Linked DNA regions of Solanum lycopersicum. The protein of the gene in region 1 interacts with the protein of each later gene in a pairwise test. Links are inferred from orthologs where the notes say so. Each region holds a gene or a part of one and is shown on either strand. Other genes may lie near its edges. The genes, in order: protein ACCUMULATION AND REPLICATION OF CHLOROPLASTS 3, chloroplastic; plastid division protein CDP1, chloroplastic.

Region 1 (3,826 bases):
CTTCTCCTTTTCTTCAATTTTTTCTTCCTTCTTTCTATTCTTCCAAAAAAATTTATCTCATCTCTTATTTTTTTCATGAAATCATCTAAACTCCTATAAAGCGACTCCTTTTCTAAGAACTAACAGAAGGTGCAATTTTCAACCTTAACAAAAGTTGAAAGACAACCAAAAGTATTGCCTCTAGAGCAAAGAAAATTTACTAAGTTGTACATAACCGCGATTTCCAAGGATAAGAACTACTAGAGATGACACACTCCAAATAAAATCTATGTTATCAGCAATTCAACTTACTACGTAAAACAAGATTATAGTTCTTACTTTTATTAGCTCTGGACCACTCAGTTCTTTTGTACCACAATCTGTCGCATCTAGAAGCTTTATGTGGTCCTCCTGTTATTGTTGCAAGTTTACAGACAGACAGATATTAGATAAATTCATTAATCAAAAGTTGTACAAGGCACTAAGAAAACAAGAGCCAGAAAGCAGAAAAAAGAAGAAAAGGAAAAGAGAGGAAAAAAGAATCAAGAGACTTATTGGAGAAAAAAACAACTTACAGACATAAGAATTGAAATGGCATTAACAGCCATTAGAACAGCATTATATGAAGTCTTCAAAGCTTCATCCAGAGTTAAAAGATCTTTCTTGAGAAGACCATCAGTGTCAATAACTGCAAACCCAAATTAAAAAACATCACAATCTGGGAACTATGGCAGAGTTGCTAACAGACTCTTCTTTCTATAAAGTAAAATTTTTTGTTAGAAGTTTGGGCATAAAAACACCCGCATACAAGAATACCCAGTAAAACCTAAAAAAGGTATGATTCTCTACAAACAACACCCAATCTTCAAAAAAAACGTCATATTATGCATTCACGAATTAAAGGTATTCCAGAATAGCTGAACCATTACTGGCAAAACTGTTAATTTTCACAAATAATCAATTTAATTGATCTCAATGACACTTGTAGTCATGCAAAGCTTTAACAGCACGTAATTAAAGTAATGACAAAGTAGACATGTGCTCGTTAAAACTTCTAATGGATGAGGGTGCACTAAAATAACAGTGTAGAAGCAAGGACCTCCCCTATGATATTAGTATCGGCAAATTTGTATGAGCTGCAGATAAGCTTATACTGTAATATGTGAAGTTCAACTGACCTATACAAACAGTTGCATGCTTTTGAAGTTTGTCAATCAAATCTGTGACCTGTAAGTAGGATGAACCATCAAGAATATTGGTCAAAGACAAGGCTGGTAATATTGTGAAAAGCATTCGAAAACTGAAATTCAACTAAGGAAAATCAAATTCCAAACACAAACATCTTTAATAGTGCCTAATGTAACTTCAACATAAATAAACCCCAACTTTCTTGAACTTCTAGAAATGTCCTCCATTCCATCAAAGATAAAGATAGAAGTAAAATGAAATAAAACGGAACCTAAAGCCATTTGTAGGTCTACCATGTTTCTTTTCTTCTTTTTTTTTGTGAATCAGTAGGTCTAACTGGAATACTATTATTGATCATCTTAAAAAAAATTATTATTGATAAAGGTGGCATGTCTGTTGTATATTGATCTGTTTTAATCCGAAAATGGGAAAGCATTGGTCAGTTTTCCCCATTAGATAACATACGCATGGTGCACTACGGCTATATCCTTAGATGTTCTTGCCTACCTATACCACCATAGCATATGACCTACAATATAGTACACCGTGTTTATGACTTCAAGTTGTTTATGCATGAACACATTAAATAAAACACCATCTCAATAGGTTATCAATGTTTTGACAGGTATGACATATACAATATGTGTATCTCGAGTATCTTCATTACTTTAAAGTAGAACAACAAACTGCTTAGTCCATACAACATTGTCAATGGCTCGTATTCTTTACAACCAATGAGGATTTAAAAATAAAATTGCTTCCATCATGAATCAACTTTGTTGTTTGCATTTTTTCGCCTAATATCCTTCCACAAAAAGATCTATTCAGCAGCATCATTTCCCAAAACAAAAGTATAATACCTCATCATAGCGCCTTCGTCCTTCAAAGCTGAAAGGTTTCAGAATGATGCCGACCGCTAGTCCATTTCTGGACTTTAATTTCCTTATAATATCAAGTGCTGGGACATGATCGGTGCCATAAGCTGCACTAGCCACCTAAAGAAGCAACAAGGAAAACAACAATTTTGGCTAAAAAGAATATACAATTAAAGCAACGTAAATTGAGATGGTGAAAAAAGAAAATGTTTTCTTTACAAATCTTCTAGATTTCATTTCCTTTCATACTAGCACAGGCATAGTTTCTCAAAGAAGTTACTGCCCCCAATTAAAAGTTGTAAGACTCTAGACAAATATTTCATTTGACTTCATCATTACTAAGTGAAGCCAATTCAACTTCTTCCGTTCTTATTTTGCTAATGGTTTCATTAAATACTCTCAAAAATTCGAAAAAATACAATTCTGACTTATCTATCAAACTGTTCTATAGGACAGCCTCTATTTGAAAGCAAAAGGTAAATCAGAGGCAAAACAGATTTCTGTCTCTTTAGCTACAAAAACTTGAGGTCTCTTATGGTAGAAATCATCCACATTTCTTCACAAGAAAGTTTTGACCCTGAACATAAAGTAGCATTGTAGCTAGAGACATTCAAAAGCAACAATATAGAGCTTAATAGTTCAAGCATTGTTGGTCATAGTAGCGTTGTGTAGCTTGTGACTTAAGTTATGCCAGAGCTTGGTTCAGTGGTTTATCAAGGTACCTCTCAGCAACTCAAATTGGAGGATTGATCAGGTTATGACTACAGCACATGTTCCAAAATTCTTGTAGGTTTAAAACGGCACTTGTTAACTTAGAGAGATAGGAGGAAGTACAGTAAATCATATAAGTCATATTGCTTACTCTTTGAAACATGTTCTAAGATTTATAACATCAGTTTCTAATGCTGCAGCTTCTGCAAACCTTAAGGAAGAAATCAAGGAAAGATTCCTAATGTTTCTCTCCTTTCACCACTTTGTTACTCATCTGCTGCAATGTTGGACATATTTCAGATATGATTTCTTAGATATCCATATAAACCTAATGATGAAGTCTAAGCAGTAGAAAATCATTGAAGCCCCTGCATATCATGCATGTGTTTGCTCTAATGCCATTCTAATACAACAACACTTAAACCCTCTATATAGATGCTGAAGTTACTTTCACAATAAGCCGGGAAGTACTAGATACTAAAACTGAAGATATAGACACATGATTTTGTTCAAGAACAGAGCAAATCCTTGGTCCGTGATCTTATTCATGACCATCTACGCATTCCCTGACTCTTGTCCACTACTCATGTCTGCCTTAGCGGAAAACAAAGGAACACCGTCCTATGTTACCCATCCAAGTGAGTGTTTTCATTAAATTCACATTAGATAGTACCTTTACTCAATAATCACTGGTAATAAAAGGAGATCTTAGGGATAAGAGTTGAGGAATGTACAAACAAGTATAACTGCTTTGGAACATGAATTTATTGCTGATGGAACTTCCACAATTCTTGAAGAAACATCTGCAAAAGAAGTTACGAGAAAAGCTTAAAGTTCATAACAGATAGAAGGGGAGGAGGCAGCAAAGAATAAGATAGACAAGAACAGTAGTTGGACAATCTTAGAGCTTGGCTCATGACTCATCTTAAAAGGTATCAAGAAATTTTAAAGCTGCATAAGGATCTCTTGGCATGGGGAAGAATCTAAGCATCCAACCCACCACCTTAAGGCATTGACTGGAATTGCTCAAGATGTTTATTAACTTCTTTGAGAACTCTTGCATAACCCATGTG
Region 2 (3,345 bases), on another chromosome or scaffold:
TCATTATTACCTGTCTCTGTTCTACACATTCCATATTCCATACTTCGCATGCAGGAAGCCTTCTAAAAAAAAGTTCTAAGTTTCGTGAAGGAAAAAATGAGGCCGTATACAATACAAAGTATAGGATAAACAATGCAAACAATATGGATATACTGTACCTATGGACTATTTATGTCAGTGAGAGGAGAGCATGGATCCTTTTTATAGTTATTTGCACCTTCTTGGATGCTACATTATAGATAAACAATCTCTTCTCTTTTTATTTACTTTTTATGTGCTTTTCCTTACTGGGCCAGTGCTTTCAAGTGGGAATATAATTGTTGTGTACTAAGTCTAGCAAAATTGATTTGATGTCCAAGAAAGTGGTACTAAAGCTAGAGGTAAGGGGAGGAAGGACATTTCTATTTCCAAGAAATGATCCTCAATTTTGTATTAACTTGCAGATCATCGGTGTCTCAGACCGAGCTGAGAAGGATGAAATTGTCAAGTCGGTAATGCATCTCAAGAATGCTGAGATTGAAGATGGATACACCATGGATGCTGTTGTTTCTCGCCAGGTGGTAGCTGCAGTCCTACATATTCATCTTTCTTATAGAGGTTATCCTGTATTCTCATGCTTGGCTACATGTTTTCAGAATCTTTTAATGGATGTGAGGGATAAGCTTTTGTTTGAGCCAGAATATGCCGGAAATATAAAAGAAAGGGTTCCACCAAGGTCTTCTCTTAGAATACCATGGGCTTGGTTATCTAGTGCTCTTTGTCTTCTTCAAGAGGTAAGATACAATACACTATTGAGCAAGCGGATTACTTTCATTGCAAGTTTGTGCGAAAATGATTATTTAAAATGTTAACATTATTCATTCAGGTCGGGGAAGAGAAGCTTGTGCTAAATATTGGACAGAAAGCTCTTCAACATCCAGATTCTAAGCCTTATGTTCATGATATTCTTTTGTCCATGGCACTTGCTGAGGTTAGGCAAAGAGAGAAAATATCATAACTCTATGCTGTCTTTTTCTTGGGATCTGTGTTATGCTTGGGTTTCTTATTCTAGGTGCTTTCTTGAAGTGTGCAATTGCAAAAGTTGGATTTGAGAAGAACAGAATTTCACAAGGATTTGAAGCTCTTGCTCGTGCTCAATGTCTTTTAAGGAGCAAAGTTTCTCTTGGGAAGATGACATTATTATCTCAGGTTAGCTTGTCTTAGTTCTGCTGTCTTATATCCAGATTTTGTGAAGGCGAAATTTGTATTTTTTCTTCATCTTATTTTTCATTTTACATGTAAGTGCCGTAGTTTAGATATTTAAGGGCTAAGGCTTTGCTATGTGAATGTGCATCAATTTTTTTGCATCCATCTCATCATCAGTAGATTTCTTTATCATTATAATAGCAATTGCAGTAGACTAAAAACCTAGCTTGAGTTAAATATAGAAGATTCTCTCTGTAAAAATGTGTAGCTATGATGTTATGTCTATAGTTGGAGACTTGGAAGTTTTGTTGGTGTTTTCAGTCTCTGCAACATTTAGTGCAAATACTTCTCTGATGTGCTGTTTCTTATTTCTCATTGGGATTATATTTTACCTTGCGCTTAGATAGAAGAATCGTTGGAAGAGCTCGCTCCTGCCTGCACCTTGGAGTTATTAGGCCTGCCTCGTACACCTGAAAATGCTGAGCGGAGGTTAGGAGCCATTGCAGCATTACGTGAATTGCTCAGACAGGGCCTTGACGTAGAAGCTTCCTGCCAAGTTCAGGATTGGCAATGCTTCTTAAATCAAGCTCTTAATAAGCTTATGGCTTCGGAGATTGTTGAACTCCTTCAGTGGGATAATTTGGCTGTCACAAGGAAGAACAAAAAGTCCATTGAGTCACAAAACCAAAGAGTTGTAATTGATTTCAACTGTTTCTACGTGGTTTTATTAGCTCATATTGCCCTAGGATTTTCCAGCAAGCAGATTGATCTGGTAATTACGACGTTGGTCTATTCTTTGTTCTTTGATTTTCACTTGCTGAAGTTGACCGCAATAAAGTGTTTTGACTCTATTAAGATATAAGGTTAAATTGCATCAACTCTCTGTGTGTAACGCAATTCCAATATCTTGCTAGATGTTTTACCTGAAAATGCCAGGATTCCGGATGCAGTAACATGTTGACAAAAAAATTCAATTGTTTATTGCAGATTAACAAATCCAAAATAATTTGTGAGTGTTTGATCGCTTCAGAAGGAGTTGATTTGAAATTTGAGGAAGCTTTCTTGTTGTTCCTTCTTGGGCAGGTGAATCTGTAATTTCCTCTTTCACTGGCTATGTATTTCCTTTCCCTTCAGTGTTTATTGAGAAAAGTAAATTTTGTTAATACAGGGTGATGAAGCTGCAGCTACTGAAAAGCTTCGGCAGCTTGAGCTGAACTCAGATACAGCTTCACGTAATTTAGCATCGGTCAAAGAAACGAAAGATGTTTCAACTGTATCAAAACCACTGGTATGTATTTACATGCTGTTAATCAGTCTCTGAAACTATGTGGTTCATATAGGCTGGTTTCCTGGTTTCTCCCTCTGCATTTATTTCATTTTATATTCTTTAGGGGTCATTACTTTTTTCTCTTTTAAAAATATAAATGCACTTCTCCGTGACCCTAACTCCTCAGCACCAATTTATAGTTGTTGACATGTTGCTCTTTTGCAGAGTCCACCTTTTTGTAAACAAAATTAGGATTTTCTGACCATAGATAATGATATAAGCAAAACTTGTTTCTATTTTTTTATCCAAGGGTGATGTTTCTATCTGGGATAAGTCTTTTGTTGAGTTGAAGTCAAATGTTTCTCATCATAACATCTTGTGGCTTTCCAGGAGACCTGGTTGAAGGATGCTGTGCTTGGCTTGTTCCCTGATACGAGGGATTGTTCTCCGTCATTAGTGAGTCATGTTATGAAATGTTTTGATTCAAAAAGTACCTCATTGTAGAGAGCTAAACTAACTCTAAAGATTTGCAACAGGTAAACTTCTTTCGCGGCGAGAAACGACCTTTCGTGAGCAAGGGAAATAAAAGAGGTCTGCAGACTGCATCTCAAATTAGTCATAGGCCACTTGCACCTGCTATTACACGGGACCAAAGAGCTACAGATGAACCACTTCCGTATGGTGATACTTCACGGCATCTCGGGTCAGCTGTAAAGCAGTTAGCTCCACCTAATTTACAAGCTCAATTGACCGTGGATAAGGTCAATGTGGGCAATGCTTCTGGGATGCCATCTGTTCAGTTGAAAAGAAATTTGGGTGCTGGACGTAAGGTTTGGGAAATTTGGTTGGGCCTGAATAGCATAGTTGAGAAGATAATTTTTGTTGTGTCAGTT

Evidence for each region.
Region 2: the proteins of protein ACCUMULATION AND REPLICATION OF CHLOROPLASTS 3, chloroplastic (region 1) and plastid division protein CDP1, chloroplastic interact in binary tests that used the Arabidopsis thaliana proteins (3 or more experiments, as listed by UniProt). The link is inferred for Solanum lycopersicum from reciprocal best matches to the Arabidopsis thaliana genes ARC3 and PARC6.

What each region holds. Positions count from the first base shown.
Region 1 is NC_090800.1:2,348,912-2,352,737, forward strand, and holds part of protein ACCUMULATION AND REPLICATION OF CHLOROPLASTS 3, chloroplastic, read right to left. Parts: intron 3,557-3,826; coding exon 3,492-3,556; intron 2,163-3,491; coding exon 2,028-2,162; intron 1,207-2,027; coding exon 1,158-1,206; intron 668-1,157; coding exon 555-667; intron 391-554; coding exon 319-390; intron 1-318. UniProt on the Arabidopsis thaliana protein: Together with MIND1 and MCD1, regulates FtsZ ring positioning in chloroplasts in an ARC6-dependent manner. Z-ring accessory protein involved in the initiation of plastid division and division site placement (might functionally replace bacterial MinC).
Region 2 is NC_090802.1:57,726,980-57,730,324, reverse strand, and holds part of plastid division protein CDP1, chloroplastic, read left to right. Parts: intron 1-443; coding exon 444-557; intron 558-635; coding exon 636-773; intron 774-865; coding exon 866-970; intron 971-1,065; coding exon 1,066-1,188; intron 1,189-1,588; coding exon 1,589-1,957; intron 1,958-2,172; coding exon 2,173-2,268; intron 2,269-2,353; coding exon 2,354-2,473; intron 2,474-2,842; coding exon 2,843-2,908; intron 2,909-2,988; coding exon 2,989-3,345. UniProt on the Arabidopsis thaliana protein: Component of the plastid division machinery required for PDV1 localization to constriction sites. Involved in chloroplast division site placement. Required for the proper formation of FtsZ rings at the division site in nongreen plastids (e.g. etioplasts).